4 linked regions of the Alligator mississippiensis genome follow. The protein of the gene in region 3 purifies or fractionates together with the protein of the main gene of each other region. This does not show direct contact. Links are inferred from orthologs where the notes say so. Each region holds a gene or a part of one and is shown on either strand. Other genes may lie near its edges. The genes, in order: NECAP2, RALBP1, AP2S1 and AAK1.

Evidence for each region.
Region 1: the proteins of AP2S1 (region 3) and NECAP2 purify together in Homo sapiens (affinity purification with mass spectrometry; 3 studies listed by BioGRID and IntAct, counting the BioPlex papers as one, with this or other methods). This does not show direct contact. The link is inferred for Alligator mississippiensis from reciprocal best matches to the Homo sapiens genes AP2S1 and NECAP2.
Region 2: the proteins of AP2S1 (region 3) and RALBP1 purify together in Homo sapiens (co-immunoprecipitation; 3 studies listed by BioGRID and IntAct, counting the BioPlex papers as one, with this or other methods). This does not show direct contact. The link is inferred for Alligator mississippiensis from reciprocal best matches to the Homo sapiens genes AP2S1 and RALBP1.
Region 4: the proteins of AP2S1 (region 3) and AAK1 purify together in Homo sapiens (affinity purification with mass spectrometry; 4 studies listed by BioGRID and IntAct, counting the BioPlex papers as one, with this or other methods). This does not show direct contact. The link is inferred for Alligator mississippiensis from reciprocal best matches to the Homo sapiens genes AP2S1 and AAK1.

The regions. Positions count from the first base shown.
Region 1 is NC_081836.1:3,410,167-3,417,896, reverse strand, and holds the start of NECAP2 (adaptin ear-binding coat-associated protein 2), read right to left. Parts: upstream 3,005-7,730; 5' UTR 2,910-3,004; coding exon 2,818-2,909; intron 2,537-2,817; coding exon 2,436-2,536; intron 1,201-2,435; coding exon 1,096-1,200; intron 1-1,095. UniProt on the Homo sapiens protein: Involved in endocytosis.
Region 2 is NC_081826.1:95,143,295-95,150,262, reverse strand, and holds the start of RALBP1 (ralA-binding protein 1), read right to left. Parts: upstream 3,020-6,968; 5' UTR 2,931-3,019; intron 1-2,930. UniProt on the Homo sapiens protein: Multifunctional protein that functions as a downstream effector of RALA and RALB. As a GTPase-activating protein/GAP can inactivate CDC42 and RAC1 by stimulating their GTPase activity.
Region 3 is NC_081838.1:647,942-655,690, forward strand, and holds the start of AP2S1 (AP-2 complex subunit sigma), read right to left. Parts: upstream 3,020-7,749; 5' UTR 2,918-3,019; coding exon 2,915-2,917; intron 1,199-2,914; coding exon 1,049-1,198; intron 631-1,048; coding exon 517-630; intron 1-516. UniProt on the Homo sapiens protein: Component of the adaptor protein complex 2 (AP-2). Adaptor protein complexes function in protein transport via transport vesicles in different membrane traffic pathways.
Region 4 is NC_081830.1:12,976,204-12,983,209, forward strand, and holds the start of AAK1 (AP2-associated protein kinase 1), read right to left. Parts: upstream 3,008-7,006; 5' UTR 2,848-3,007; exon of another isoform or gene 2,724-2,847; intron 2,523-2,723; 5' UTR 2,303-2,522; coding exon 2,140-2,302; intron 1-2,139.

The sequences.
Region 1 (7,730 bases), on a different chromosome or scaffold from region 3:
GTAAGCTGTCAGGGAATTATACTTTGACACTAAATGCTATACTGGGGGACTGTGTCTTCTGAATTGGTTAAAGCGGTCCCAACAAGACTGAGAACGGTTACACTAGAGGAAAGTTAATTTTTCCATTTGATCTTTGGACAAATTGCTCACATTAGAGCAAAAGGAAGAGATTCAGACACACACACACTAAGAGGTAAACTCTCCTTCTTGGCCTTTACACTTGAAATCTAGAACTAGCGGTCTTGAATTATTTAGTTGCTGGTTTTCCACCCTGTACAACTGGTGTTCACTCAGGTTATTAGGAGCGTGTGGAACGGGAATTTCCAGCTCTAGAAGCTTGTGTGAAATGAAGCTAGAAACTGTTAAAAAGGATATGATGCTGCTGGAAGGTGCTGAAGTTGTGAGATTTATGCACAAGACTAACCCAGCATCATCCGTTTCCTTGTACTGCTCCTTGATATCTCCACCCCTACCCGCTGCAGCCCTCCCTTCCTCTCTGCTGAGCCTGTCACTTTACAGTGCTCTCTGTAACGGTTTCATTTCCCACTAGGAGTTGAACTCAGGCCTGGTCTGGGCACCAAGTTACACCAGTTCATATAAAACTGACTGAGTCACCCTGGGGCAACTGTATGTGCAGATGCTCTCAGGCTGCATTCAACACTGCTTATCAGTTCAGCTTGGGTCAACAAATACACTGGCACAGAAACATGTTAGATCAGTCGAGTTCAACTTAAGATCAGTTAAATAAGCCTACATGCCAAGTGGTGAAAATCCTGTAACTTTTGATCTTTGGTTTCAATTCAATCCACACAGGTTGCTGAAATACAGGCACCGAGTGCTGATTTTGGATGGATCTAGTCTGGTGTCCCAAGGAACGAAAGGCACCTCACTCCACTCCCCTAGGTTTTTACTCTGCCTCTAAGATGCAACATTTATTTAGCCCTTTGAAATGAGGAATCCTTCATAGCTGGAAGACTAATCCGGACCAGGCCAATGGAAACCTCCAAGACAAACTTCAAAACGTATTCATCAAGAAACGTGCTTGCCTTACTTAGTATGGTGCTAGAAAAGAAGAGAGCTTAAAACCTCCCCTACCATTTCCATCTTCAATCCGAACGACAAAATATCGGCTGGAATCCGTCACGCTCTCCACAGCGATGCCAGGAAACTGGTCCACGGGGGCCTGGGCAAAGAGCTCCCCTACAAGCAGAACTGTGTGTGAAGGGCAAGGAATCTTAATGCCAAAGAAAAGGAGCCAACACAACAGCGCCATGTCCCAGAGCACAGCACGCACAGGGACGGCGGCTTACGCATGCTAGGGAATTAAACACAGTGATACACCCACAAAGTATTAGGTATTTACAAGCTGTGCATACCAACAAAGGAGTTAACCTACTTACCCAGTGTCTTCCAGGAAGCCTACAGCAGAGGATAAAACCCAGACAGAAACCCAGACTGAGAAACCAGTCCAACCACTACTCTACATGTCCTTCGGAGGCTGAAATCCATTAACCCAATTCTCAGTTCTCAACATAAGGCTCTCCTTATACAGCTGGGATTGAGAGCAAGCTCATTTACATGACTTGGAACCAGACCAGCCCCAGGACTATGATCAGGAAGTCCCGGCAGCAGGGGGATAATCGCAGAGGGAGTCGCTACAGGCAGTGTATACTCTGCGTATCTCTTCAAGGACTGATCCCCTTCTGAGCAGGGCCCAGGGCAGGGAAAACGCGTGACAGGGGCCACAGGCAGCTCTCTCCACCCAGACCGAGCGCAGCGGCAGCACAGGGAGAACGGAAGCGCTCGAACCAACCTTCAGAAAAAGGTTCCATCTTTGAACCATCCTGGCTGCATCGAGGAACTGAAACACACAGGAAGTGCTTCCAACAAGAACTATGGGGATAGGGCAGGAGATACTAGTTGTGGGGGCTAACCAGGTTTCCCCCCCTGATTTCATTAAGGACAGACTCCCTAGCACAGAGTTTGTAAGGCTTCTTCCTGCTCAGCCTCTTAAACACCTTGAAGAGCTAACAAAATTGGCATCTAGTTGAGGTTATTCTGCCACAGAAGGGGGAAAAAGGGGGCTTTAAACCCGCTGCTCAAGTCGAGTTCCCTCCCACTCCTTGCACCGCTGGGGCACCCGGCACCACCAAGCACCGAGGAGCGGATCCATCCAGAACCAAGTCATGTGGGAAACCTCAGCAAACCTCCTCGAAGGGGAAGACGCTGCCTTGAGGCATTTTCACATCAATATATTGTGAATATTTGCATACTTATTTTGAAGCGACCCGAATTCATGGGGTAGCTCTGGGAAGCATCCAGGGCTGCTCTCACAAGGACCCGCGAGCCTGCTGCGTACGGCAGCCCCTTTCGAGCGGGGGCGAGGGGGGGGGGGGTCGCACACACGCACACAAATGCTGCTCTTTTCCCTTTACCTGTAGTCTTATCCTCGAGTTTGATGAACGCCATCTTCCCCTTGGACGTGATGCGCAGCCGGCCGCTCCACGCCGGCTGGTCCAGCTGCCATTCTGCAGCCCTGCGGGTAGAAACTGCTATTAGCGTCTGAACAACACCTCGCGAGTCCCCGGCTGAGCCTCTCGGCGATGACTCCTCGTGTCACGGCATTGCTCGGGGTCCCTACGGCTGGGACCCACGATGCGAGTATCAACTCGGCTACTGCGGCCATGGAAGGCGTGAAGCAGAGGCCAGGGCTCCATTGCCAAGTACAGGTATCGTACAGACGTGACAAGAGAAGCGCTTTTAGTTACCCCCCCTCACTGCTCCCCGCATTGTAACCCCGCCCCCCTCGGGGCGCACCGGTGTCCGCGGTTGGAGGCGCGCGGCGGCACGCGGTACACGTGCACCTCGGGCTTCACGCACAGCACCGACTCGTAGTCGCCGTCCGCCATTGCTGTTGCTGTCGCCGTCGCACCCGGAAGTCCGCCCGCCACCCGGCTAGAGCGGCCCCGCGGAGGTTGGGCGGGCGCTTCCGCGTCGTCTCTGTGGCTGGGGCGGCCAGCCAATGGGGAGGAGCGGGGGGCGTGCCTTTGGGCTCTATGGATTCCACCCCTCCCCTCTCTCTTGGAGGACCGCGGCCCGGCCGCCGAGCCCCGGGCGCGAAGGCTGCTGGGAGCGGAATGCAGAGCAGCCGATGGGCGAGGGAAGGACGGAGAGCAGACAGCAGAGCAGTCGATGGGCGAGGGCACAAGGCGCAGTAGCAAAGCAGGGCAGGGAGCAGCAAGCAGAGCAGCAGATAAATGTCTTGTCGTTCCAAACTGGTGGTAGGGCAGATGCTTCAGCATGAGCACAACCAGCAACGAGCTAGGGGGATAACAATTGCAAGCCTCTATTACAAGCCTGAAACTTCCCTAAAACCAGTATTTTTAAATGACTGGTTCTTTCCCTTGAATGCACCCCTAGCACGGACAGTCGTTTCATCGTCTTTAGGGGCTGGACAGGACCTGACCGGCCCCCCTGCACCGGGGCAGGAAAGACCGCTGGGATCAGATGACTCCAGCGAGGGCGTCAAGACGTTTTTGGCAGCGCGCACGTTTCCAACCCAAGCTGCAAACTGAAGTGCAAGTCAACCCCAGAGCAAATACGGGAAACGCGTCCCGAGCAGAAAAGGAAACCTTGCTGTCACGCGTGGTGGACTTGCCGGTCATCAGCAGACCCGATCCTCCTCTGGGCCCGCGTGGGGGTGGAGCGCGCGGCGCGCGGCTGGCCCTGCGCAGCGCCTGAGGGCTGCTCGAGCTCTCGCCCCACGATTTTGAAGTGGAGCAGCTGAGCGGAGAGAGGACGGGAGTTGCCGGGACTGAGTTTGTGTAACCGGAGGTCCGTGGACGATTGCTTGAAACCGTCCGTCAGATGCAGCCCTCTGCGGTCCTGCTCCATCTCCTCCTCGTGCTGGGTGTCGTTTGCCTCGTTTCCACAGGTGCCAATTTGTAGAACGGGCACAACCAGCTGTCCAGTCCGTGGCGTGGTCTTCAGGAGCGGAGAGGAGATCTGCCCACAGGATGGCAAGCAATTTGAGGGCCGTGTGGATCCGAAGCAGGTAGTACCTGGAAGAAGCTGTGTTCTTAAAATGGCAGAGAGAACCTGCTGGGGAGACTTGGACCATGCTCCCAACGGCCAGCATCACACCCCCCAGGCAGCGTTACAGCGTGAAAACAGGACGCTTCACATGGCGGAGTTCAATTCTCCTTTTCAGCTGCTTGTAGGGGGTAGCTGACTTGGGGACTGTCCCCTCCTACAGAGCCGGTTCACCAGCACTGAAGAGATTTGTGTAAACCAAATCTAAATCTCACACAGACACACAAGCACACAGGTATTCCCAGCCATGAGGGTACACACTTGCACCTTCACCTTGAGCTGGGTTTATAAAGGGGAATTAGCGCCAAAGAGAACCAAAAAGGTGCCTTGGACTATTATAAGTCCCATTCATTTTAGCTTTCTTGCATCCATTTCAAAACAAAATGACGCAGCAGCCTCCACCTTCACTGGTGCGACTGGATACCAACACTGATAGGAACTGGATGGCTTCTACCCCCCCCAGCTGGTCAGACTCCAGTAATACAGGGGCAGAGGGAGAAGCTGGGAGACACCTTGAGCTGTCTCATCCTATTTCCCACAACTGCAAGGACATTTAGCATAGCCCCCAGTGCTTTGTTTAGCGCTTCAAAACCTTGCTCACAAACTTGCACTGCCCCAGGTGAGCAACTTGCCCAAGTGCCCAACTTTGGTCAAGGCTTAACTTAAAAAGGGAAACGAGTCTTTTGCAGCATAAAAGCTATTTTCTACCCTCAGCACTTTGTCTGCATCGCAAAGGCTCTGCTTGCCAAAGGGACCAGAAGGCTTCAGGATCCTGTGAGCAACGCGTACAGCTGCTCTCATGAAGACGGTATCAAGATAGAGGGCTGGTGAGCAGGTGGCTAGGAGAACGCATGAAGCACTTTGCCTTCTATTCATGAACACCAATGCAATCTCAGGGCAGCTCCAACCCGTTAGTTCTTCCCACTGTTCCCAGTCCACATAAACCATGTAGATGCAGAATTTAAGGCTTAGGACTTTTCAAAAAAAAAAAAGAGCCTGCAGCATGAGCAGCTTGCTCTCGGTACGCAGTGTGTTAGATCGCTCCTTTCAATTTATCTGTGGTCGTCACACAAATGGGGAAGAATAAAAAAAAAATCAGAAAGGTCCCCCATGTTCATGGACAAGCCCGAGATAAACATGTGAAAGAGAGGATGCAGAAATCAAGTAATTTCACTCGATTCGCTGCAGTAAGAAGCCACTCGGAGTTCCCTCCCCCAGCCCTCCACTTTCACGGTGCAGTCTTTGTAAGCTTTTTATCAAATATAACAAGCTGGGATGTTGCTGTCCAGATCTGCACGCAAAGCCTGGGTGGGATGCGAAGAGCAATGCGCATGAAGGAGTTCAATACAAACTGCACTTTTTTTTTTAAAAGTTTAAACACATTTATTTAAAATACAATTTATAAAATGTTTTTCTGCATACTTAGGAGCACTTCCATGGGGAGACGGGCGGCTCTAGCTAGATCCTGTGTGTCGGATGCACACAGCTTTGCACTTCTCACCACCTGAACGCACACATACGCACACAGGCACACACGAGAGAACCGTAAAGTGCCCCTAAGAACACACACAAAAAACCCCTATAAACGTGTATTAGAACAAAAGCTCTAGCCCCTCTGCAGACAAGGCATTTGACTTATCCCAACACTGATTTCCGGACAGGATCGCTCACCTACTGTCCATCTAGGAGGGGCCCGGTGGCGGGTGTCTACAGGGATGCTGCCCCATCCTGCCTGCAGGCTGGAAGCATCCTGACTGATCGTGCTATAGGGATGGAGAAGCTGGAGACGGGTGCTGCGATGACCTCCCCTCGTGTAACTAATGTGAATTTACGCGAGGCTGATGCTGGAGGTGCCGGCTCTGTCCTATGTGCAACTAGCAAGAAATTTTAGGCTCTGCTGCACAGGACAGCAGGCAGGAGAAGAGGATACCGTTGTCCTAACATTGGCAAGATAGCTGAAGCTACGTCAAGAGGCTTTTGCGGCAGCTGGCCATCTGAAGTAATAGCTATTTTAACTGAGAGTTAAGGAAAGGCGTGGTGACTAGTTATTGCTGTCTTGTCCCCCCCCTCCCCCCCACCCCCGCCCATCCTCCTCTCTCCAGCCATCCCCATGGGTTTCTCCTTGCCACCACTGTGAAGGAAAGATAACGTTTCCTGCGATGCAGCTGCTTCTGGCTTGTACAGGTGCCCCGGGGCACGTGCCAAGCCCTACCTGAGAGGAAGTTCCGTAAACATCAGATTACAGCCTTTGAGAAATGACTCCAGGCCGAAGGGGACATCGGTACACATGGCCACCTCTCAAATTACAGCAGAGTAAAAGAAAAAAAAGAAATCTTTACAACAACCATTGAGGGCTCACCTGATTCAGGGAATCACACAGGGCGATGGGACAGAAGATCAAGTCAGTGAACAGATCTGTATTCTAGCAGATTATGTTTTGCACATAGATAGGATTTTTTTTTTCTGGTAATTTGTTTGCAGTATCTCTGTACGTGTGTCAGTTTACTGGCTGGGAATCTCCCACACACCTCGCTCTAGGTAGAGGTTTTGTACAGCTGCTTCCTTTCAGGTAGAAGAGGCTGGGTTCAAATGTCCACCGTTCAACCTACAGAGCACAGAGAGGGTGGACCATATTTTGCCAGTACAGAATACATCCTCCAAACACCAGAAGCGGAGAAAGGCAATTTGTGGGAACACAGCTTGAAGCAGACAAGCCCATGGGCAATTTTGGCTGAAGGAATGGTTTAAACCTTCTGTGGTGGCAGACAGAGGTCAAAAAGGTGCAGTCAGTTTTTCTGCCTGTAGGAAGAGACCCTAGCAACACGGTGAATCCCCTCTAGGACTGGAGTCTTTCCAACATACAAGATGCCTTCTCTTTGTCCCATCAGAAAGACATCTTAGTGTTCATCTAATCCCTCAAGACAATTACCATGAAGGGTAGGTCAGTTTTCTCATCTACCATAAGAGTTAGGCAATGCAACAAAACAAAACCAGACAGTGTAGGACACAGGAGAGACCGTGGAGCAATTGTATTTGACAATGTACTGCAACAATAAATTTGGTGGTACCTTAAATTTCTCTTCCATGGCTGGAATCCAGGAAGGTTTTCAGACTGCCAGATGAAACCCTACCTCAGACCCCTTTCTCTTTCCAGGGTTTAGAGAAGCAAAAAAAGTGAGCAGTTGCCTGAAGCCTAGCAAAAAGCCACTTGTTACCACCAGCAATGCATGAAAACAGGGAGTTTTTCCAAAGTTTATTGAACAGGGTTTGTTCCCGGTGTCTATGATTCCTAGAAGTAAATGCATCAGGTACAGCACTGAATTGTACCATCACTGAAAGATTAGAGCCATCAGTCCTTCACAAGCCACACTGCTTCAAGGTTTGTACCTGGTGGCTGTCCTGCCTCCTACTGTATGGCAGCCATTCGACAAGCACAGGCTTTACAGAGCATAGCTCGTTGCCACATTTGCCATGGGCCAGTACAGTACTGAACTAGTCTATTCCTAGCTTGTAAACCTGGATGCAACAGAGCCCTATTCCTTCACCCTGCTTTCTCGGAGGCCGCAGGAGGTCTCCGTGGGATCCGTCTACGCTCCCTTCCCCCCAGATACGAAAGGATGTTCCTTCCTCAAGCCAGC
Region 2 (6,968 bases), on a different chromosome or scaffold from region 3:
TTAAATCAGCAAGCAGGAAGACTCAGTTTACATCATCAATGTTAATCTTGTTTTGCATTAACACTTTTAATTGTTATAACTGTTGAACTTCTAATTGTTTTCCTAAGTTGATTTTCATTGGTTGGTAACCATTAAAACATGCAGGTATACAACTAAAAATAGCTTTTATACTAAATTTGATTCTTCTTTTTGCTAACCAGGATATTTACACATTTAAGCAACTATATACATGTACTCAGATACTTGTTATATTTTATTGTGTTATAAAACGGTGAATTGCATTATTTATTTACTAGATGATGAATTTTTTACTTGTGGTTTACATCAAATTGCTTTGGGACAAAAACTGAAATTGCTAAAATTCAGCATTTTAAATCTAATCTAATTAATTGTAATCTATTTTTAATAATTAAAAATAATATATTAAATATTCTGGATACACAAGAAAAAGTTTATCAGAATATATTCAGACAAAGGTTCTTCGGGTGAATCTGATATCTTTTATTAGACCAACTTAAATAGTTGGAAAATAATTATTAAGCAAGCTTTCGGGTTCAAAAACCCTTCGTCAGGCTAAGGAAGTTTCTGCAGTTGGTGTGCGCTCTTCCTGGATGGCATGAAAAGTAAAGAAGCCAGCCCAGCCTCTGGCTTCTTTACTTTTCATGCCATCCAGGAAGAGCGCACACCAACTGCAGAAACTTCCTTAGCCTGACGAAGGGTTTTTGAACCCGAAAGCTTGCTTAATAATTGTTTTCCAACTATTTAAGTTGGTCTAATAAAAGATATCAGATTCACCCAAAAAGCCTTGTCTGCCTATGTCCTTAGACCAACATGGCTACAACCTACACCCCTGTAACACATCAGAATATATTCTGCATTTCAAGGTAACATTTTAATAAGCACAGGAAAGATTCTGTAGTTACTGAGCTGAACCAACTGTTTCAGTCACTGCATACTTCAGTATTTTAGAACTGGTAGACTTCAACCTCTCTCTCACAGTTGTTATTCACAGATTAGAGGAGGAAAACCAGTCTCCCAGCTTTTTCAGAGCTCAAGCACAGCGGTTCTCAACCAGGGTGCCGCAGCATGCCAGGGTGCCCCAAAATCCTTTTAAGTGTGTCGTGCAATATCAGCTCTGTTAGGTTTGCAAACACAGACACACAATTCACAAGATATACTCAGAGATTTCAAATAGGAATCAATACGGTCAAAAACATTCTGCCTGTTGTGGCTTTTCTGAGTACTCTGTAACAGAAGAATTGTGCTATTATTTTTTGTATTTTAAAAAAATAATTGAAATATAAAATCTGGCATTTTCTGAAAGGTACCTCAAGTCTACTGTCTTGGGTCTAAAAACAGCTGAGAATCATTGCTCTAGTGGCTTCTCAAATTTGAGCAAACACATTATTGAACTAAAACTGAAATTAAGAACATATTCTTTTTACACCTGCAGAGGTGGCTACAACTCTCAAGAGCTGGTTTATTACTTCAAAAACTTGTAGTTCCAGTTATTTAGCCAGGCATTTCAACCAGTTTTGTCTTTAATTATACCAAATTAGCAAATGTACAGGTTCAATATAATTTTAATTATATTATGTAATATGCCAATTTCAAGTGGTATCTACAAAGAAAAATATACTTTACATTTAAATGTTAAAAAATGCACTTCTTTTTTTCTTTAGAGGTGAACTGATATATCAGTCCATATCAAATTGGCACCTATAAAAGAAAATTGATATTATCAACAATTGGTTTTTTTTGGCAGGTGTAGCTAATAATGCCACCGATCAATGCCACATGCATGCATGCAGCCGCAGCATTCACGCGGCTAGGAATGTAGCCTGGCAGCCCGGAGAGCAGAGTCTGGCTGGTAAGTCTATGGGGGGAAAGGGGTGTAGAGGGGAACAGACTGAGGCCCCTATGGCAAGGGAGGGAGTGGGGCCAGGGCAGCACAGGGCACAAGGGAGAGCCTGGAAGGAAGGCACCATTTTGGTCTTGCTTCTCTCCCAGCTATATGGTAGGCTCAGTAAAAGACAAAGATTTTGTAGGGTGATCTCTTTTATTGGACCAACCACGTAGTTGGGCTATAATCAGACAAGCTTTTAAATGCAAGACACTTTTCCTCAGATCTCGCATCCTCAGGTCTTACATTCGGGAGTTTGCCTGACTTTATCCCAGCTACAGACTTGGTCCAGTAAGAGACCGCCCTAAGAAATCCTTGCCTCTCCCATCATTTCTGGGCCATCATAGCTATTCCATCGCTCTTCGACTACCAATAACAGACACTGCCAAAAACTTCTTACTTGTCATCCATTTGCCAGACCATCACAGTCACAATGTCCCTCTGACCCTGCTGGAGTCCCCCACTGAAACCTGTGCACCATGCAAGGTGCACACATTTGACATGGCTTGTCGGCACTGGTACGCTGCACCGCCTTGGCCGCACCGACACAGCTGGCAGGACACGGCCTCACTGCTGTACACAAGGTCCCCTTATTCCAGGACGGGTGTTTCTGCAGGCCGTGGTGCAGGGCCATGTCACTTGGCCCATAGGGCTCCCACCAGCCTAGAAACAGGGCCACCCTGGGAGTCATTTATGCTGCCACCGCCACCCGATGCCCTGCCTCGTGGGGTGGGTCCAGGGCCGCCATGCGGCGAGGGGGTCACGGTAGGTCCCAGCCTGGCGAGATGCTGCACCAGCCCATGCCACCAGCCTCCTCGCGACAGCGCCTCCTGTGGACGTGGACGGACGGACGGACACGCGGACGCGGACACACACACACACACACACACACACAAACGAGGAGGGGGGGCAGGAAAACGTCCGTTAACCGCCCCATTCCAGCCCGGAAGTGGCTGTCCCGGGCCCTTGCCCACCCCCCGTTGGGAGGGGACGCGCCCCCCGCGACACGCGCGAGCTCGGTACTGACCCGGGGGCTCGACCCCGCTCGGCCTCACGCGCGCCCCATGGTGCCGCCGCCCGCGGCTGCAAAGACAGGCCGGGAGCAGCGCGAGCCTGCTGACGCATGTACGCAGGCGCGCCGCCCCCCCCCCCCCGTGAGGGAAGCAGCTGAGGCCAGGAGGGGAGACTACGCATGCGCACAAGGAGATGCAGCCTCCGGCTAGTGTGCGCCTTTGCGAGCACAGGGCGAATACGCATGCGCATTGACAGGGCGCCGGCAGCGGAGCCTGAGCGTTCGCCTGGGTAAGGATGCGCAGGGGAAGTTCCACCTTCCTCCAGCCAGCGCCCTCCCGGTACATGCCGAGAATTGTAGTTCTGTAGAGGCAGATGCCCGGGTGGGGGGCGAGCCTGACTACAGGTCCCAGCGGGCCGCGCGGCAGGCTCCACTGAGGGGCGGGGCTAGTTCAGTGGCCAGGGAGAGATGCGTGCTGCTGTGGGAGAAATGGAGGGGGGGGAGGTGGGGAGCAGAAAACAGAGCAGCAATATCGGGCAGGCAGTAGGAAGCAGATGCGGGAGCACCAGATCAGGTAGGGAGTGGAAAAGAGAGCAGCAGACCAGAAAGAAAAGTACGTGAGGGCACAGTGCACACGGCAGGAAGCAAGAAGCAGAGCCCCAGATCGGGTAGGGAGCACAGCAGCGAAGTAGGCAGGCAGCAGAAATGAGAGCAGCAGATAAAGGAATACAGGACAGGGTGGGGGAATAGAGCAGCAGATTGAGCAGGGGCAGGAAGTAGAAACTAGAGCAGCAGATCAGGCAGGGACTGGGAACCAAAACAGCAGACAGGGCAGGACGCAGAGCTGGAAACAGGGCAGGGAGGGGACAGAAAAGTGGCAGAGTGGGCAGGGGATTGGAGCTAATTTGTGGTACGTCTGTCAAAGCAGGTTGGTCCCCTGGTGCAGTAAAGCAGTGCTGAACCCACCAGTACAGCCACAAGTCTGTTCTTTTGAGCAGATATGTTTGAAAAGAAGAGCAGAGTTTGCTGATCTTGTCGGAATGGAGTTAAAATTATCATGCTGGAAGGCCCTTAAATGTTGCAACTAGAGAAAATTCAACCAGCTTTTAAGGGACACAAAAGCACAACTCCTCCGGCAGCTGCAAGGATTGGAACTGTTCCTTTGCTCCTGGTCTAACCTGACTATAGAGCTTTGTGTCCCTAAGCAATTTAATAGGACTAGAAAGCAGCAATCAATTTTGGCTTCCTCTTTGACAAAGAAGTTGGTCTTGCATATTTTTCTTTGCTTTCGCATCGAATGCCAGAGAACAGAGAAAGGGTCCGGCTGTTGCGCGAGTACACGTTCTATGCCTGGAAATGCATCTTCCATCTCAATGCCTACTTTCTTTCTCTGGCCTTTAAATAATTTCTTGTATTCTGCCTTCATTCGACTGCAAGTTTCCGAATATGTTAGACACCTGCAGATCTTGAATCTCTTTCAGAGCTCCTGGTAAACAAGGGAATTTGTTCCAGTGAAAAGTGGACTGATTCATTTCCCCAGCCTCCAGGCATAATCCTGGCATTTTGGACACATGAATACAATGGCAGCTTGCCACCTGCTTCATTTATTCACTTGACATTCAGTGCTCCTCAGTCCTTACAAATGGGCTCTTTGTGCAACCTTCTGTGGTAATGTAAAAGGTCCCCTGCAGGAATTTGTGTGTATGTCTATTCTGTAGGAAATATAAAAGAGAGGGTTGTAAATACTCTTGATTGCTTTTGAGCATAGATATGTTGTCTTTACAATGTATTATGTAACTATGCAACTCCCATAAATCCCTTTTTATCCCATGGAGGCTATCTTAATGTCAAGTACTCATTGTTTTATTTTACTTAACATCACAAGCAAATGTTTTTACCATACAAAGACTAACACAGCAGGCCATAGGAGGAAAGAAAGGTTATTACTCACTGTAGTTTTTTGCTTCTGTGGATCCCTGCTCTAAGGCACATTCACAAGAGCCACTTCACCTCCAAGGAGTAAGGATTCCTATGGGCTATTGTCACTGTGAGCCTATAAAGGTTCATAAGCTGCATGATGCAAAACGATGATTTCCCTAATCGCTGAGGAGGGCAAATGGGTGAAAAGCACAAAGAGCATCTCTAGCTTACAGTTGATTTGTGTGTGTTCACTGGGAGATTTGTTCCTTTAGAAAAGTTCTCTCTTGTCTTGGTCCTCATTACCTCAGATAGTTTCACTCCACATGCCTCATTACATTTACTGTTGGCAAATTCTTGCTGGCTATTTTAAACAAGAGCCATGCTAAAGTATTTGAAATGGCAGGTCCTCTTCTCTGAAATTCAATCTGTGCAATAAAGAATGGGGAGGAGTTTTGGAAAGCATGCAAGGAAGAAATAGGGGAAAAAAAGCACTGATATATTAATTAATAGCATCCCTCTTCATGCCATCTCCTGCCAGATTGTAGCCTTCCTGCAGAAAAGACACATGACAGGTTTTTCTTTTGTTTGTGGTTAGTGAAAGATTCCTAGTATTCATAACTGCCAGAACAGCTCATTTCATGATCAACACAACTCTGTTTGATCAGGTCTGGTAACAGGCTTCTACCACATGTACATTTGGCATAATAATTTATGCCATCTATGGATACTAGGGTTACCATAGGTCTCAGTTTTCCCAGACATGTCCTTTTTTTTTATCCTCCGATCTCTTTCTAGGCAGTTTTTAAAAATCTGCTCAAATGTCTGGGATATTGCTCAGCTCAGCTGTGTGAGGTGGGGTGGGTGCATGCAGAGGCTGGGAGAAGCTGGGGCTGCAGCTGAGAACTGGGGCAGAGGAGATGTCTGCAGGATCCTAGCACCTACCAAATTCAGTTTAGCTTCTTTGCCACAGCAGAGAAAGAACCCTAGGGTCCTAGCACCTGCCTTTTTCTCTCCCTCTTACAGCAGCATCTGGTCACTCTTGGGTGTGGGACTGCAACTTGTCAAGGGGGATGGATTGTTGGCAGCAGTCCACTGTAGGGGAAAAAGGTTGCAGGGGCAGGGCAGCCAGGAGATGGAGGGAGCAAACGGCTGTGGTTAGAAGTGAGAGGTGGGGAGACTGTGGGTCCCGAATGTGGGGCAGGGAGTTGTGGGTCAGGAGTGAGGGGCACTAGTATGGCCCAGGGAGACAGGATACTGTGGGTTGGGAGTGAGGAGCACTGGCAGGGCCAGGGGTCCCTGGGTCAGGAGTGATGGGCTGCAGTAGAGCTGGAGGGGCTTTGGCTTGGGAGTGAGGGGCAATGGAATGTGCAGGGTGAGGGCACTGACATATCACTGCACTTAACAGTCATATATGCCCCCCATGCACATGGCAAGTGTCCTCTTTTTTGGAACTGGAAATATGGTAACCCTAATCAATACTAGAAACCTTCTGGATGCAATTTTCCATAAGCACTAAGGATCTCCCTTAGTCACACTTTTACTTGGTCATCCAGGAGCAAATTCTTGTATACCAAGTGAGAAAGGTGGGGAACACCCAGGGGCATGAACAGCTGGTGCCTCCCGAGACTTGAGGGGCACTATTTGTAAGTGGCAGTGTTGACAGCGAGTGGTAAACCAGGGTTTATGTATCTGAATCATTTCTATAGATGTTAGTACCATAATCCCATTGAAAAAAAATGTTTTATATATTTCTGTATTTAAAATGTCACATAAATGACATCTAGCTAAGCACAATCCTGATTGAAAAATTTGGAATTTATATAATTGCTTATTACACTAAGGCATGTTTATTAAGTTTTTAAAATTACTTACAATATTATAGTGAGTATTTAATAATATATATTACCCAGGTGCTTCAACTAGGTAAGGCCCTAATTCAGCAAAGTGTTCAAGCATATAGTTAAGTTTAGAATTTTAGCAAGGCACTTAATCTCATGCTTAAATCAAGGGCCTAGTAAAGTAAATGTCCCCCAAATAAATTATGATCTTCCCACTCTCAGATGGCCTTCACAAAATGCATAATAGTACCATATTATGAGATTTTCATTGCTAAGAACATTTCAGAGCAAACAA
Region 3 (7,749 bases):
GGAGTCGGGGCCTGATTTGTGCCACCTGGTGCCACGAGACCGGCGTGCCCTCCTGTTCAACTCAGCCCAGGGGACCCTGCTTGCCCCCCTGCTGCATCCAGCCGAGATCCGACGGCAGGGCTCGGGCACAGCTTCTACCATGAGGTGCCCAGAGACGATGAGATTTGAAGCAACCCAGGGCACCGGTCATGATGGTTCGTTGCCCTCCTTGGAGCTTCACCCCCCAGCCCCACCGCATGGGACGCAGGGCAGGAAACGGGTCTTTTGCAGCCAGCAAAGCCATCAGCGGTTGCTCAGAGCCCAGCGAGTGCTAGGTGGGGCTTTGCTCTGCTCCCTGTAACCCACAGACCCGGAGGAGCCTCGCGGCGAGGGACAGGAGCTGCTGGCTGGCCCAGGCACGCACAGAGGGAGATGTGGACAGCCGGTCAATCACCGAGGAAGGCTCCATCTCCCTGAGGAACCGTCCGAGAGCCGTGCCCCCAAGACCAGGCCCAGCCACCTCCTACCAGCGCTCACCTCCACGAAGTTGTGGATGGCTTCCAGGTACGCCAGGTTGTTGTCGTTCACGTCCACGCAGATGCAGAAGTACAGCCCCGCGTAGCGCCGGTAGATGATCTTGAAGTTCCGGAACTGAGGGGAGAGGACGACGGTGGAGGCTCCACCAGGGGAGCAGACGGCCTGGAGGAGACCCCTGCGCCCCCAGGTCCTCTCAGTTGCCTTCCTGTCAGGGAAAACCCTCACCCCAGCTGCACGCAGCAAGACAGCAGCAGAACCCAGGAGCTCCCAGTCCCAGGTAGCCGCTCTCGGTGCCAGCCGACGTTCCCTCCCCCTGCCTCTGGCTCCTCCCGCTACGATGGGAGACTTTGGAAGCTCATGCCCGCGGTGCAAGAGCAAGCTGCTGTCAGCCGCACGGCGGGGCTGGGCCAGGATTCCTTGGACGGGTTGATCCACCCACATCAAGGTGGATCTGGCAAGGAGCCGACACCTTCACGTCCCGCCCACCCCCTCCCCAAGTGTCGGGGGCCGTGACACGCCGGCAGAGCGGTACCTCCACGAAGTTGGTGTGCTTGGCATCCCGCACGGTCACCACGGCGTGAACCTCCTCGATGAGCTTCTGCTTCTCGTCGTCGTCGAACTGCATGTACCACTTGGCCAGGCGCGTCTTGCCGGCCCGGTTCTGGATCAAGATGAAGCGAATCTGCGTGGAGAGCGGATGAGGTCAGGCTCCATCGCCTGGGTCACGGACAACAGCACGGCTCGAGGGGTGCAGACCCTCAGGGGAGCCCAATGCAGTGGGCAGGGCGGGTTGCCCCCTCTCAGCTGCCCCCTTTGCTGCAGGGGGTCTGGCTCCTTCCCCTCACCCACCGACCCCACCTCCCCGCCGGCAGAGCAAAGCCAACCAGGCCTCTCCTTCCACCCAGCTGCTCGCAGAGCGATAGGGGAAGGAAGAGCCGCGCTGCAGGGGAACGCCCCACAGCAGAGGCACCAGGGCAGCTCAGGATGGCTTGGGACAGAGCCCTTTGCAGGCAGGAACGCCGGGGCTCTGCCCTGCCACAAGCCCGACACCCGCGATCTCTCCTCTCCCACCAGGAGCCCAGATCTCGTGGAGGTCCCGTCCCCCAGCCACGGGGCTCGCCGTCCCCTGGAGCTGTCGGGCCCCGCACCGCCGCACTCCTGGCGGGGTCGGCGGGGGCAGAGAGGAGGCTTCCTGGAAGGAGCTGCCTCCCCGCCAGTGCGCGCTCAGCAGGAAAGGCCACGAGCTCCGTTCTGCTGAGCGGGGGGAAAGGGCTTCCTCAGAGGAAATCCTGACCACAACCCAGCCCAGAGCTGTGTTTGCCACCCCCACTAGGAACCAGCGGTGGGACCCCCAACACCTCAACCTCCAGATACTTTGCCCCGTGCACCCGAAGGTCCCATTAGGAAAAAGCCTCCACGGTGCGAGCGCTGGCGGGCATCACACCGGGCACCTCCCAGCTGCAGGAGCCCGGGCACCGGGGGTCCGGTGAACCCGTGTCGGGAGATGGACCGTCGCCGGCTCTATGCCACGTGCTCTCCCGCTCCTCGGGGCAGCCCGGTAACCCTGCAGAAGGGCTGGAAGGGAGCTCCAGGGGTCACGTCCTGCCCAAGGCAGGGTCAGCCCCGTCCCAACCAGCCCAGGCAAACCCAGCGTCGAACCTCCGAGCAACACGACCGTCAGCCCTCGCATCGCCCCCGAACCTCCCCCGGGAAAGCGGGGGGGCCGCGGCTGGCAGCGCCGTCAAAGGCTGTTATCAAGAGATGGCAGCGGAGGCCGTGCCCCTGCTGCAGGGGCGGGCAGCGCCGCCCTGTCCGCGCCGCTCTGCGCGGGGCGAAATCCCTGCCTCGCCCCAAACGCGGCATCCGTCGGAGCCCGAGCACAGCGGCGAGGCCCTCCAGGATGGACCCCGCGGGGTCGAGCGCCCACGGAGCACGGGCGCAGCCCAGGAGAGGGAAGAGACCCCGTCCCCGGCACCCGCGGCACGTCCAGGCCACGCGCTGCAGCGTCCCCGCGCCCACGCGGGGCAGGGGGCCTGCACCCCTGGGGGACTCCGCCGAGGCCAAGGGCCCACAACCGGCGCCGCAGCCCCGCGGGGGCCGCCCTTCCACGGCCCACCCCAGAGCCAGCCGCACACCCGCACACCCCCCCTTGACGTCCCCCCACACGGCCGGCTCCCACGCGGACACGCACGGGCCAGGGGCTGCCACTGGGGGCTGCTGGCTGGGCCCCCCCCACACCCCTCCCCTATAGGGGGCACTTGCCCCCACCCCTTCCCTATAGGGAACCCCCACCTTCCCTATAGGGGACACCCCTTCCCTAGAAGGACCCGTCTCTATAGGGGGCATTTCCCGCCCTATCCCTATAGGGGACCCCAGCTCCCACGGAGCCCCCACTCACCATGACGGCCCGACCCCGCACAGCTGCTCTGGGCCACTGCCTGCCCCACTCCCCACCCCACCGGATATCCGGCGGGTGCCCCCTCGCCGCGGGGCCCGCCGGGAGTTGTAGTTCCAAAGGAGGCGCGCACTTCCGGGGGTCCCTCCTCCCATGCGAAGCCGCGGGGCTTGCCGGGAGTTGTAGTCCCCACCCAGCCCCGCCTCGCCGCCGCCAGGGGGCGCTCGAGCTCCAGGCGCCGCGCTCCGGACTGGGGCGGCTGCCGCCGGGCGAGCGCCCTACTCGAGGCCGCGGCTCTGGGAGGCCTCGCAGGCCGCACCCGCCCTGGGCCCCCGGCCCTGCCTGGGGGCTCGCAGGGGCCGGTGCCCCCCACCCCAGAGACCAAGACCGACTTCGAAATCCGGGACCGCCCGCGACGCCTGGCCACCCTACATCGAGTCCAACCCCGCCGGAGGGAGAAGGACCGGCTCTATCCGAACCACCCCGACAAATGCATCGTGCAGCCGCTTCGCCACGCCGGGCTGGACCTGACACCACGCCAGGCTCGGAGCGGCCTCGCGCAGCCCGGCAGGGCCAGCACCGCGGCAGAAACGTCGGTGTCCGGGGCTGGCCGGGCGCTGCGCGTCGTCCGGCTTCCTGCTCCGCTCCAGCAGCCCAGCCCCTGCGCCGCGCCGCGCCGCGCCGGCGGGGAGTCCCCCAGGGCCCAGGGCAGGAGGGGTCCTAGGACACGCGGCTGAGCGGCGCCGCGGTGCAGACAACACGTCCTCTCTCGACTGTCTGTGGAGCTGTTTGTGCTGCACGAATTGCCGGCAGGAGCGAAGGACTGGGCCCCGTGCTGGGGCTTGTGAAACCGCAGTTCCCAGAGGCTTTCCAGCCGCCCGCAGCCAGGCTGGGCTGCCGACGGCATCCTCCGTACGCCTCCCTCCGGCCTCTCGTGCCCGTGGGCTTCCCAGAGGGCTCGGCCGCTCTCTGGTCTCAGCAAAGACCAGGCAGTGCCTAGTGCCAAGTGGCTGGGGCGATGCTGGCAGTGGGGTGGAGCGGTAGCCCGCCCTGCCACGCGGGGAGCGGCACAGGACAGCGGGAGAGGTGGACCCGGGGTCCCAGCCGTCGGGGTATCTCTGACGCAGCAGAGTCTCGCGCAGCAGATTTCAGCACCTTGCTCCTTCCACGCCCTGCCCGAAGCATCGTCCTCGGCCTGCCGGTCCGGTCGGTCCCGCTTGCAGCTCAGCAGCTTCCCCCCCTTGTTCTGTTGTTTCCCACGCCCCTGCATCAGGCGGGTGCCCAGCAGGGCCGTCTCCTGCGCGCACAGAGGAGCAAAGACTTGGACGAGCCGGCGTGGGGATGCTGTCTCCTTTGGTTCCAGATTTCTCTGGGACTTTTGCTGGCTGGAAGAGTCTTCAGCAAGTTACTATCCTCTCAAGGATGCTTTGGTCAGGCCACAGCTCCAGTTCCCAGCTCTGCTTGTCATCGGGGAAGTCATTTCCTCTCCCGGAGCCAAGCTTCCCCACTGTGAGATGGGGATAAAGCCACGCCTGTCTCCAGTGGGGACCTGCGAGGAGAACCAGAAATAGCCTCCCTGAGTCACCGGCGGCCGTCTGAAGCTGTGATTATTTCCCACCGAGCAGGGGCTGAGTTTACAGAAGGCTCAAACCGCCTCGCCAGGATGCTAGACCACGGAGGAACGGGGCTGGAGGATGAAGCGCCCTGCTCTCCCGATGGGCGATCTACAGCTTTCGGGCGCTGCCTCTTCTCTAAGTGCTGGGCTCTGGCGTGCGCCCCAGAGGCATCTCCCTCTCCCAAGCTTTTTGATACTGCTTTGTAAAGGTATTTCAGGGTCTGACTCGCATGAAACCCATAGGAACTGAGTGCCTCTGAGCCTGGCCCGTGCAGGCGACACAGGTATTGCATCATTTGACCCTCTGTGGACAGCTGGGCAGCACCGGGCGGTGGCAGATACCCATCCAGGTTAGACTAAATCTCACATCAGGCATCGTGCCTCATACTCCAGCTGGGGTTTCTTGGCCATCGCAATCCCGGCAGCTCTCCTGTCCTCTAGGCGACCCGCGGACCCGGCCACTTCAGTGCCTGGCTGGAGAGGCGAGCTGCCAGGAGAGCACTACCACGGGTCCGTGCCTTTTCCTTCCTGCCTCCCAAGGGTGAAAAGCAGCTCCCAGGCGTCTGGGCTTTGCTGGTTGCCGCATGGGGCTGGAAGGGAAACCAACCCCTCCGTCACGCCCCCCTTACAGTGAGGCCCAGGGAAGCTGTGGACTCTCCACCCCTGGAGGGGCTCCAGGGGAGGCTGGGCAGCCACTGGCTGGGGTGATCTAGGCGTAGCGATGCCCATGCTCCACTATGGGGATGTCCCGGGCTTCTGGGCTTCGCTGGTTGCCCCCCTCCACGATGTGCCGGGGGGGTTTAGGCCTTCCTCAGAGCCGCTGGGTGTTGGCTGCAGCCCAGGCTGGGGATGGCAACTAGCCTGTGCCAATGTATCTGCAGGGACCTACGCCTGAGGGTCCTGGCTAGAGGGTCTCACCTTGCTGCTCAGGGTCAGACTGATGCTGCATTTGGGAATTTTCTCCCATAGTCAGACTGGTACGGACTGGGGGGGCTTTGCTTTCTTCCGCAGTGGGGACGTGGCCTCAGCCTGGGATCTCTCTGGTGTATTTGAACAGCCTCCTCCAGCAGCAGGACATCGGGTGTCGTGGTCCCCCTGCCTCACCTGGAGCAGGTTCGGATGCGATGTCTGATGCTGTGTCAAGGTTGACGGTAGTTTTCCAAAGAGGTTTGGTGGTGGATTTGTCTGGGCTGGTTCAGACGGGGCTGATCCTGCCTCGGGCAGGGCCTTAGACTAGACGTGACCTCTGCCTACCCCACCACGCCAGGATTTCTATGGAGGGTTTAAAGGGAAAAGACGTTTTTGGTCGGTTCCCCCTTCTGCCCTGCATTAGGAGTGCCGGGCTTGCCCAGCCGGATTCTCTGTGAGGCCGACTTTCCTACGATCCTGTGTGACACGACACACATACCATTGTAACCTGCTTTGCTGGGCCTGGCGCCGGACCCCATGTCCTCAGCGCACACGGGTGGATCTAGGGTTTTGAAAAGGGGGGTGCAGATAGTGTCAGCCCAGATGACAGGACAAGGAGCAATGGGCTCAGGCTACAGCAAGGCAATTTGAGGTTGGATATTAGGAAAAACTCTCTCACTGTGAGGGTGGTGAAGCACAAGAACAGGGTCCCCAGGGAGGTGGAGGAGTCTCCATCCTTGGAGGTGTTTAAGACCCGGCTGGACAAAGCCTTGGCTGGGATGATGTAGTTGGGGCTGGTCCTGCTCGGAGCAGGGGCTGGACTAGAGCTGACCTCCGGAGATCCCTTCCTGCCCTCGCTGTCTGTGATCACAGCTAACACAACACACGCCTTTCTCCACTTAGAGAGAAACTAGAAGCTTTACTAATGCACTGGGGGCCCAGCGCTGTATTATTCAGTGTGTGAGCAAAGCAAAACACAAACAGCACTTTACTGAAGTGCAGACTCATTTGCTAGCTTCTATATTAAGCTTAAAAAACACAACAAACTAATAAAAAAAAAAAAAAAAGGGGGCCAGAGCTATTGTCTCATTCGTCCTGCAGTCATAAATAATAATGAAATGCACGTCTCTCAGCCAGATTTGTAAAGCAAAATCTTGCCGCCTGGAGCATCTTGTGCGTGCCTCTGGTGCTTCGCTGTCAGTCCTTTCCATACCTGAGCTAATGTTCCCCTGAGGGCGTGTGACCACACCTGAGTTCAGGGGATGATCCAGGGCAGCAGCGCTCAGCCGTTGGCTCGTGGGCCAAAGGCGGCTTGTGGAGCCGTCACGTCCAGCCCGCCGGGCTCTCCACCGGTCAGGAAATTTGGTGGTGGGGGAGTGATGGCAATTAATACGGCCGCCCTCCCCGCTGCCAAACTCCCAAACCCTGCACATCTGTGCTCCCTTCCCCCCATGGGACCGAGCCATGGCTGGATTGGGATGGTCCATGCCTCCCCACAGCTGGATCGGGATGCCACCTCCCACTCCGCAGCTGGATCAGGGCTGGGCCACGCCTCCTCACAGCTGGATCGGGGCTGGGCCCACCCCGCTTTTTCTGCACAGCCAGATTTGGGCCAGCCTGCCCCCGCCCCACTCCACGTGGCTGGACGCAGCCTGCCACGTCGGACTGGGACCGCTGGCCGCGTCTGGCTCGCAGGCGGAGCAGGCACCCCCCAGCCAAAAGGGTCGTGCAGTGCTGGACCGGTGAAAGATCCAGACGGTTATGGAGCTGAGAGGGTCCTTCACACCCAGGGAGCGAAGAGATCAGCAGGAATCAGGGGGATGATCAGGAGCGGTGAAGTCGGCCGATTCCCTGAGCCGCTGCCGGGATAGAAACGCCCCTGCTGCTCCCAGGCAGGCGGTTATAAAGCTCGGGCAGGGCAGGAATCATGGGGTGGGAAGGGGCAGCTGCCCCAGCGCCCGCCAGCCACACACCACGCCGAGCAGCGCGGCAGGGGCTTTGTGGCAGGACAGAAGAGAGGATGCAAAAGGCGCCTGCTCAAGGGGCCAGCCCTGGCCCAGTGGGCCGGGACCAGGGTGTCTCGCCCCACCCCCGGCCTAGTGCCACCCTGGGGACACCAGTCACAAGAGGGGGCAGGGTCATGACCTCTGGAAATCCCACCCACCCACTTCACTAAGGGGGGGAGGGCGCATGCGCGGAGAGGCGGCCCAGGTGACAGGGGCTCGCACGTGGGAAAGAAGACATCTCTGCGCACGCGCGGCTCACCGCTTTTCCACGCGCCTTCCCCCTCGCGCATGCGCACACACAACCTCCC
Region 4 (7,006 bases), on a different chromosome or scaffold from region 3:
GCATGCTGAATACAATCCCAACAGATGGGAAGGCGGCAAGGTTGCCTTACAAGCGCCCCCAAGATGTTCATGAAGGAAAGAGCTTCTCCATTCTCTAGTATCAACAGGACTGAACCCACAGACCTATGCTAAAAGCCACCCATCTTGTGCCCTATTAGGGGGTCAGTAAGGACCTCCAATTAGAGGGCAATGCCCTCAGCCTGACCCGTCGTAGCAGTGACCTCTGTGCGGCAGCTCCCACCAAGACAGGGTTCTTAGAGCTTCTCATGCCCTGACAGTCTACTCCAGGTTGGATTTGATCCATTTAACAGGCCTGCAGGAATCAAATCCTGAGTGGCAGCCCTATCCCTAGCACCAAGCCACATTGTACCCCTCCCCAGTAGTCTTTAATCCCCATGATTGCTCTCACTACTGGACAGCACTCATGCACAGAGGAGTTCCCGGAAGATGCTATTCTTGCTGAGGCACAGGGAGAACACCAGGACAACACAACAGGAGAGTAATCCCTCCTCCTCCCATCCCAACTCATCTCTCACCCCAACATGTGCTATGGCCCAGGCCTGAGCAGAAATGCAGTCAAACACGACAGAGGAGAGCTGAGCAGGACAGCACCCAATAGCATGGCAGCTCACTTCCCGCTGCTGTCAGCATCCTAGGCAGGATCTGCCAGCAAGAGATTACCCATCAGCAAAGAAGTCTGTTCATCCTGGTGTTACAAGAATGAGGCCAGAGAGCAGGGAGCAGAACAGTAGCAGCTACAGAGTTGAAGCAAACCTCATTGCTGGACTCCAGGGGCAAGTAGGGCCTTGGAAAAATAAATCAAGGCAGATTTGTGCCATATTCTTGCAATCAGTGCCCCACAAAGCTGGAGAGATCACTAGACTTCCTAGGCCAGGGTTGTTTAGGGTGATCAATTCTGGCTTCCTCTCCATCCTACAGTTAGCATGCACCACTCACCATGACCAGCATTTCAGGCAGCCCCAGCCCAGCCCGGCACTTCCTGATTAACCATGACTATAAAAAGACATTGACAAATCTGTCTTAAGATAGCTCAATCAAAAAAGGTCTGAACCATTCGTATTGTCCCTATCAGGGCTCAAATTTATGTCAAGGCTAAGGTAGCCACCTACCCCCAGGCTCCGAGACCCCAGCTTTCTTCTCTTTAGCCCTCTTCCAGGCAGTCTGTTTGCAGAAGCCCATTCAATTAAAACCTAAACAACACACTGCCTGGACTGAAAACACCAAGGATGCTGTGCACAAAATGGACTATGGGCCAGTTTAAGGAGGCCAACATTATTCTGAAGGTCGAGAGCAAGGTTACTAATGAGAGACTTTGCAGAAGATCCCATTATAGTCCATGCATATGAAAAGTAAAATTATATTTAAAGCAGCAATGCTCCAGATACAAGTCTTTTAAATAATAATTACAAGCAGTTAGTTGCATTGCAAGCACTTCACTTGCAGGTTAGAGAGCTCTTAGGGTTGTATAACCTTTGTTATTCTTTATTTCTTTTAAGTTTTTTTAAAAGCACTTCACAAACAGTAAATATAACCTGGATTACAGTTTTGCTTGGCATCTTTTCATCCAGCCACAACCCACTACCACAAACAGCTGTTTGCTCTGTTAAGTCCTGTGTATAGACCCTACACTAAAAACATACAGAGAATTTATCAGTGGTTCCCCAGCTCTAGCAAAGGTAGGAAAGATGCAAGCTGATGGAAGAAACTTCCACAATGAAAGCAATGGGCTTCTCTCTCAAGACACACCGTCTCCCACTAGACTATGCCAGGATTATTTTGCTGGTTTGTTTGCTTTTAAAGCATTCCAAGTTTCCAGCTGGGAGGAAAAAATCCCAACTTCTGTTGGTTTTATTTCTCCTGCTTGCATTTCAAAAACAAATAAAATCTGCAATAATAGGATTGACTTGCATCTCTGACAAACAGCAGGGGTATCAGCTGTAGCTGTCATCGGACTGCAAACCCCTCAATGACAATGAAATCTTGGGGAAAACGGAGGAGGAGAGGAAGGGGGGGGGAAAACAACACGCCTGAAGAGAGGGCCAAAGCCTCTGTTTACATTATACAAGATACCTCTGCAGAGGAAAAATAAGGGCTCTGCACAAGCCAGTGTGATCTTACCTTCCGCCAGCACTTCGTCCACCGTCACCTGGTGCCTCCCAATATTGAACACCCGGCCAACGTACCCACTCCCTGGGCCGGTGCTGCTTCCACTTCCTCCACTGGTTCCCGAACCTGGGCCAGAGCCTCCCTGCTCCCGACGTGAATCAAAGAACTTCTTCATCTCTCAAGAGATACCAGTGTGATGATGACAGTGACGCTGTTTGGGGAGGTCCAATTCTCCTCTCCCCCCTTCTTGATCCCAGCCAATAAGAAAGAATAAATTACTTCCAGTGGGGTTGGGGTTTCTTCCCCTCCCCCCTGTTTTGTTGAACGTTCTGTTTTTTTCTAAAGCAGGAGAGATGCTTTTTCCTTCTGGAAGGCAGAGCTGCTAAGGTTTACACCTGTAATCATTATATATAAAAAAAAAAAAAAAAAAAGGGCGGGGGAATAAAACATTACAAACACTCCCAAAATAATCAGCCATGCTGTCAAAACAAAATAGCCCCCTTGGCGCCCAGAGGCAGCCTTCCTGCATGCACAAGCCCCTTCAAACCCCTTGCCCAGATCCCCGAAAAGCTGTTGCTGCGAGAAGGATGATGTACCTCTGCCCTGAGCAGCGAATCTTTCCATGTAAACCCCCCAGCACAGGGAGCCGCAGGACTGCCCCAGTCCTTTGCTACCAAATAGGCTGGAGCCACCCAGCTAGCAACTTGGCCACAGTGTTACCATTGCTGCATCCTCTCTGCTGGAACTGGATGGGCCATGGCTGTAAGAGACCATTGCAGCTCAGGGAAGCGCAGAAGGAAGGCGGCCAGCAGTTGATAGCCAGAGACCATTACAGACTGATCCTACTCCAGGTGCCCCCCCCCCAGCCCTCCCTCCTCTTCCCAGCTCCATCCAACCAGGAAATGAACTGTCACAGGAAGTCCCTACTTCAAGGAGGGTGGGTGGAGTTGGGGACTGAGTGACTTCCCCTCCCTTCCGCAAAGGTTTTAGGGTTAACCCCTTCCTCTGCAGCACTCTCCTCTTCTCTCATCCTGATCTGGCAGAGTGGGGAGGGGAGGAAGAAATCAGAAAAGCAAAAGCTTGGGTTGGAAGGAGTGGGGGGGAAGAAGAGGGAAGGGGGCTCAGATGCAAGGGGGGAAGCAGCAGCAGGAGTTCAAGGCACTGCAAAGAAAGAGTGTTCTTAAATTGCAACACCCAGGCTCAGCTGTGGGGCATTATGGGAATGGTAGTCCTCCAGAGAAGGGAGCCCAGCCCTGTAGGCAGCTGGACTCTGCTTCCCACAAAGCACCAGGAGAAGACCCTGGGGTCCATCACTAGGTGGGGGGGTGCTTTGCTGCTGACATTATTCAGTGCCCAGTGGAGTGAGTGCCTGAGCTGGCTGGAGCTGCGCTGTGGGCAGAAGGATTTCAGCAATAAAAGCTTTTGAAGGTGTGCCCCTCCCTCCCCTCTCCAGCTGGCAGCAAAGGCACCTGGGAGCTGTAGTTTTCCTGCTGCCAGCTGAAGGATGGCTGGGACCAGGGAAGCAGCAAGCACACAGCCTGTCTGGGAAAAGCTCCTGGTTCCCATCCCGAGTCTCGGCTTTGCAGGTGCTGATAGAGTCCACATCCTTCCCCGGTTAAAGCAAGCAGCCTCAAGGCAAACAGGAATGAACCTGGAGGAATGGGACTATTTTACAACAGCTCTCCGACACCTTTTCCGGGACCCATCACAAAACGCTCAGTGCTGCGGGATCCCGAGCTTGTTCCCCAAGCTGTCACTCAGAAATAATAATAAAAGCTACCAGCTTCCACAGGAGCAGACAAAAGATTAAAAAAATACCACAAGTGGCGTATACACCGTCAGATTCAGACAGGCACAAGATCTCTCCCTTCTGGGGTAAATGAGGCTGCAAAAACCACTATAGCAACTTCCCGCAGAGGTGACTTACTGCAGAGAAACTGTCATATGTCTGCATCCCTCGGCTATTTTATCCAGGGGTAGTAGCCCTTTGCCACCAGATGCTGTGACAGAGCTTATGGTGGGCAGTTAGCTTTCTTGGAGCCGTCTGTGTGTCTCCTCCTTATTAATTTGGGGTAAAGAGCTTCCACAGCCTGAGATTCTCCTGCGATCATATTATTCCTGCAGCTGGGCATTTAGAGAAATGGATACAGTCCTGCAAGCTGCCAATACCAAAGCAGGCCCTGGCAGAGCTTATTGCAGTGTTTGAGAGCCAAAGCGGATTGAAATCAGTGGAAAGACTGACTTCAAGAGGTTTTGGATCCAGCCCTTTATACCTGAAAACAATTTGGGATCCAGACTGTATTGTTTTGCTGTGAGTTTGTACAGGTCTAGTGCATGGTGCCACCATCAGATGGCACACACACACAGCCAGAGTTAATTAAAAAATAACACAGCAACAGAATTCACACTTTGCTCCTGCAAACAAGACTCTTCCATGCCTTATTCCTATAGGGCCCAGAGGTGTAGCTTTGCGTTGCAGAAGAAGGGTCAGAGGGAACATGGGTGTTCCTGAGGAGCCCACAGTAGAAAGGGAAAGCGTGCCTGCTGCTAACCCACTTGTGTTTTCCCACATCCTGCGCGATTTAGAGTCACTCCATTTCCTTCTGTCTCCATAGCCTTTCTTCATTTCAGCTATATAGATTCATAGATTTTAGGGTTGAATGAGATCTATTAGAGCATCGAATCCAACCCCCTGCCCTGGGCAGGAAAGAGTGCTGGGTTCAGATGACCCCAGCCAGGTGTTTGTCCAATCTCCTCTTAAATACCTCCAAGGAAGGGAACAGCACCACCTCCCTTGGAAGCGTATTCCATATGTTAGCAACCCTCACAGTAAATAACTTTTTCCTGATGTCCAATCTAAATTTGCTCTCCTTCACTTTGTGGCCATTGTTTCTAGTTACCCTGATGGGCACCCTGTTAAACATTGTATCCCCTGTTTCCTGCTGTCCCTCCCTGATGAGTTTGCAGACAGCCACAAGATCACCTCTCAGCCTTCTTTTGCAGAAAATTGGAAGCTCCTTGTGGCAGGGCCTGTCCCTTATTAAGTGATTATATAGCAGCTTGCACAACGGGGGTCTCATCTGGGTGGGCTTCTCCAGATGCTAGTACAATATAGATAATCCATAGCCCCTTCGTTCCCAAGGCCCAATCTTGCTCTGCAGTCCTGAGTAGTCTGAGCAGCTGACACTGACTTCAGTGCTATGTGACTAAATCCCTTTCATCACCACGGGCTGAATTTTTGCTTTCTCCACCTTTCTTTAAAATAGATCTCTAAGGCCAAAAGCACCAGTGATTTTGGGTGCCTTAGGTTTTGGGCACCGAGTTTATCTGGAGAATTGTTGATGGAACAGGTTTCCACTGAAAAAGGCAAAAGCACATCTTCACAATACATGTTGGATCTGAACCAGATCCCACTGAAATCAGTGGGAGTCTCTTTTTTTAGACAGAAGCTGAATTGGATCCATTGTGAATTATACCGATAGCCCCACTGTGGTGGCTTTGTATAGTTAAGCACACGCGTAAGTCTCTGCAGGCACAGAAGTTTAGCTGATAACTGTAACAACCACACAGCAGACAGAGTGAAGGATACGTAGGTATAACACCCAGCACAATTAGACTGTGACCCTGATGTGAGCCCTTGGAAGCTGTTGCAATACAGATAATCAAGAAAAATAATCCAGAGTACAGGCGACCGCTTGCCTTTACCACACTTTTATCTGGCTGATTTGATGGAAAATTTCTCATGTAATTGGGAGCATTTCCAAATGATATATATTTTTGGCTCCAGCTTTTGTTTTAAACAAGAGGGATTTACTGAAAATACAGGTGTATAAACAAAACACTATATCAGATATGTTTGCAAGCAGCATGTGGGCAAGAATGATGAAGCCATTTATGCCTTTGGCACAGTCATTTTGCTTTCTCTTGCATCGCTGCCTTATTTGAATGGACTGGCTTTTGGGCACAGTTTTCAAATGCTGCCTAAAAAAAAGTATTAGCGGCATTTTGTACGCGTGCTTGGCTGCTGTTCCTAAACTTGAAAGCTATTGATTTATAATTGCTAAAGTGGATTTGTGATTAATCAGAGAAACAAAGAACAATAATATTTAGCACATTTCATGCATAGATCTCCAAGGGCTTCCCCAAGGTCAGTATCATGACACAGATGGGGAAATCAAGACGCAGGTAGAGGAAGGGGATATCAAAGTAGCAGGACTAGAAGCAGTTCCCTAGGTTCCACTCTGGTTTATATACTGAGCCTCTCCACCTCTCCAGTATAGTTAAACACATGGAGGCAAAAGCCAAATTCTGCCACCTTTGTACTGCATTGCATCTGATAACACAACCCAGTCATCAAAGTAATCAGAAGAATACCTCTGCTCAGGGTGACAGTTTGACCTGTGGATATCAAGGGCCTCATTCTCCTCTCATTTGCGTATTTGCAGTGTTATAACTTCATTGGAGCTGCTCCTGTTTCACAGTAGTATTAGCTACATAAAAATGGGGCCCCATGTGATTGCTACACCAGTCATTTAAACTATTCCATTAAGAGAAGTGTAAACAGAACTATTTTTTAAAAACATGGATTTCATCCAAGTTCAAACCTTGTTCTACTTTAACCTTGAGAAGGCATGATCAGCCACGCTGGGTGAATATTATAGATTCATCTGAACTTGGCATTGATGTGGTAACTGGGGAAAGCCAGTCTCCATAGAGTTGCTTTTCTAATTGCTTGGAAAATTCCCTAGGCAGGTAGTAGACTTCGAGAATACACCTCGGGCCAAGAGATTCCGAGAGCCAGGGATTTCTGGGGAAAGTGAGGAATTTCACATTTTCCACTGACATCAGCCATCACTGTGGTAAACAAGGGAGTTACTTG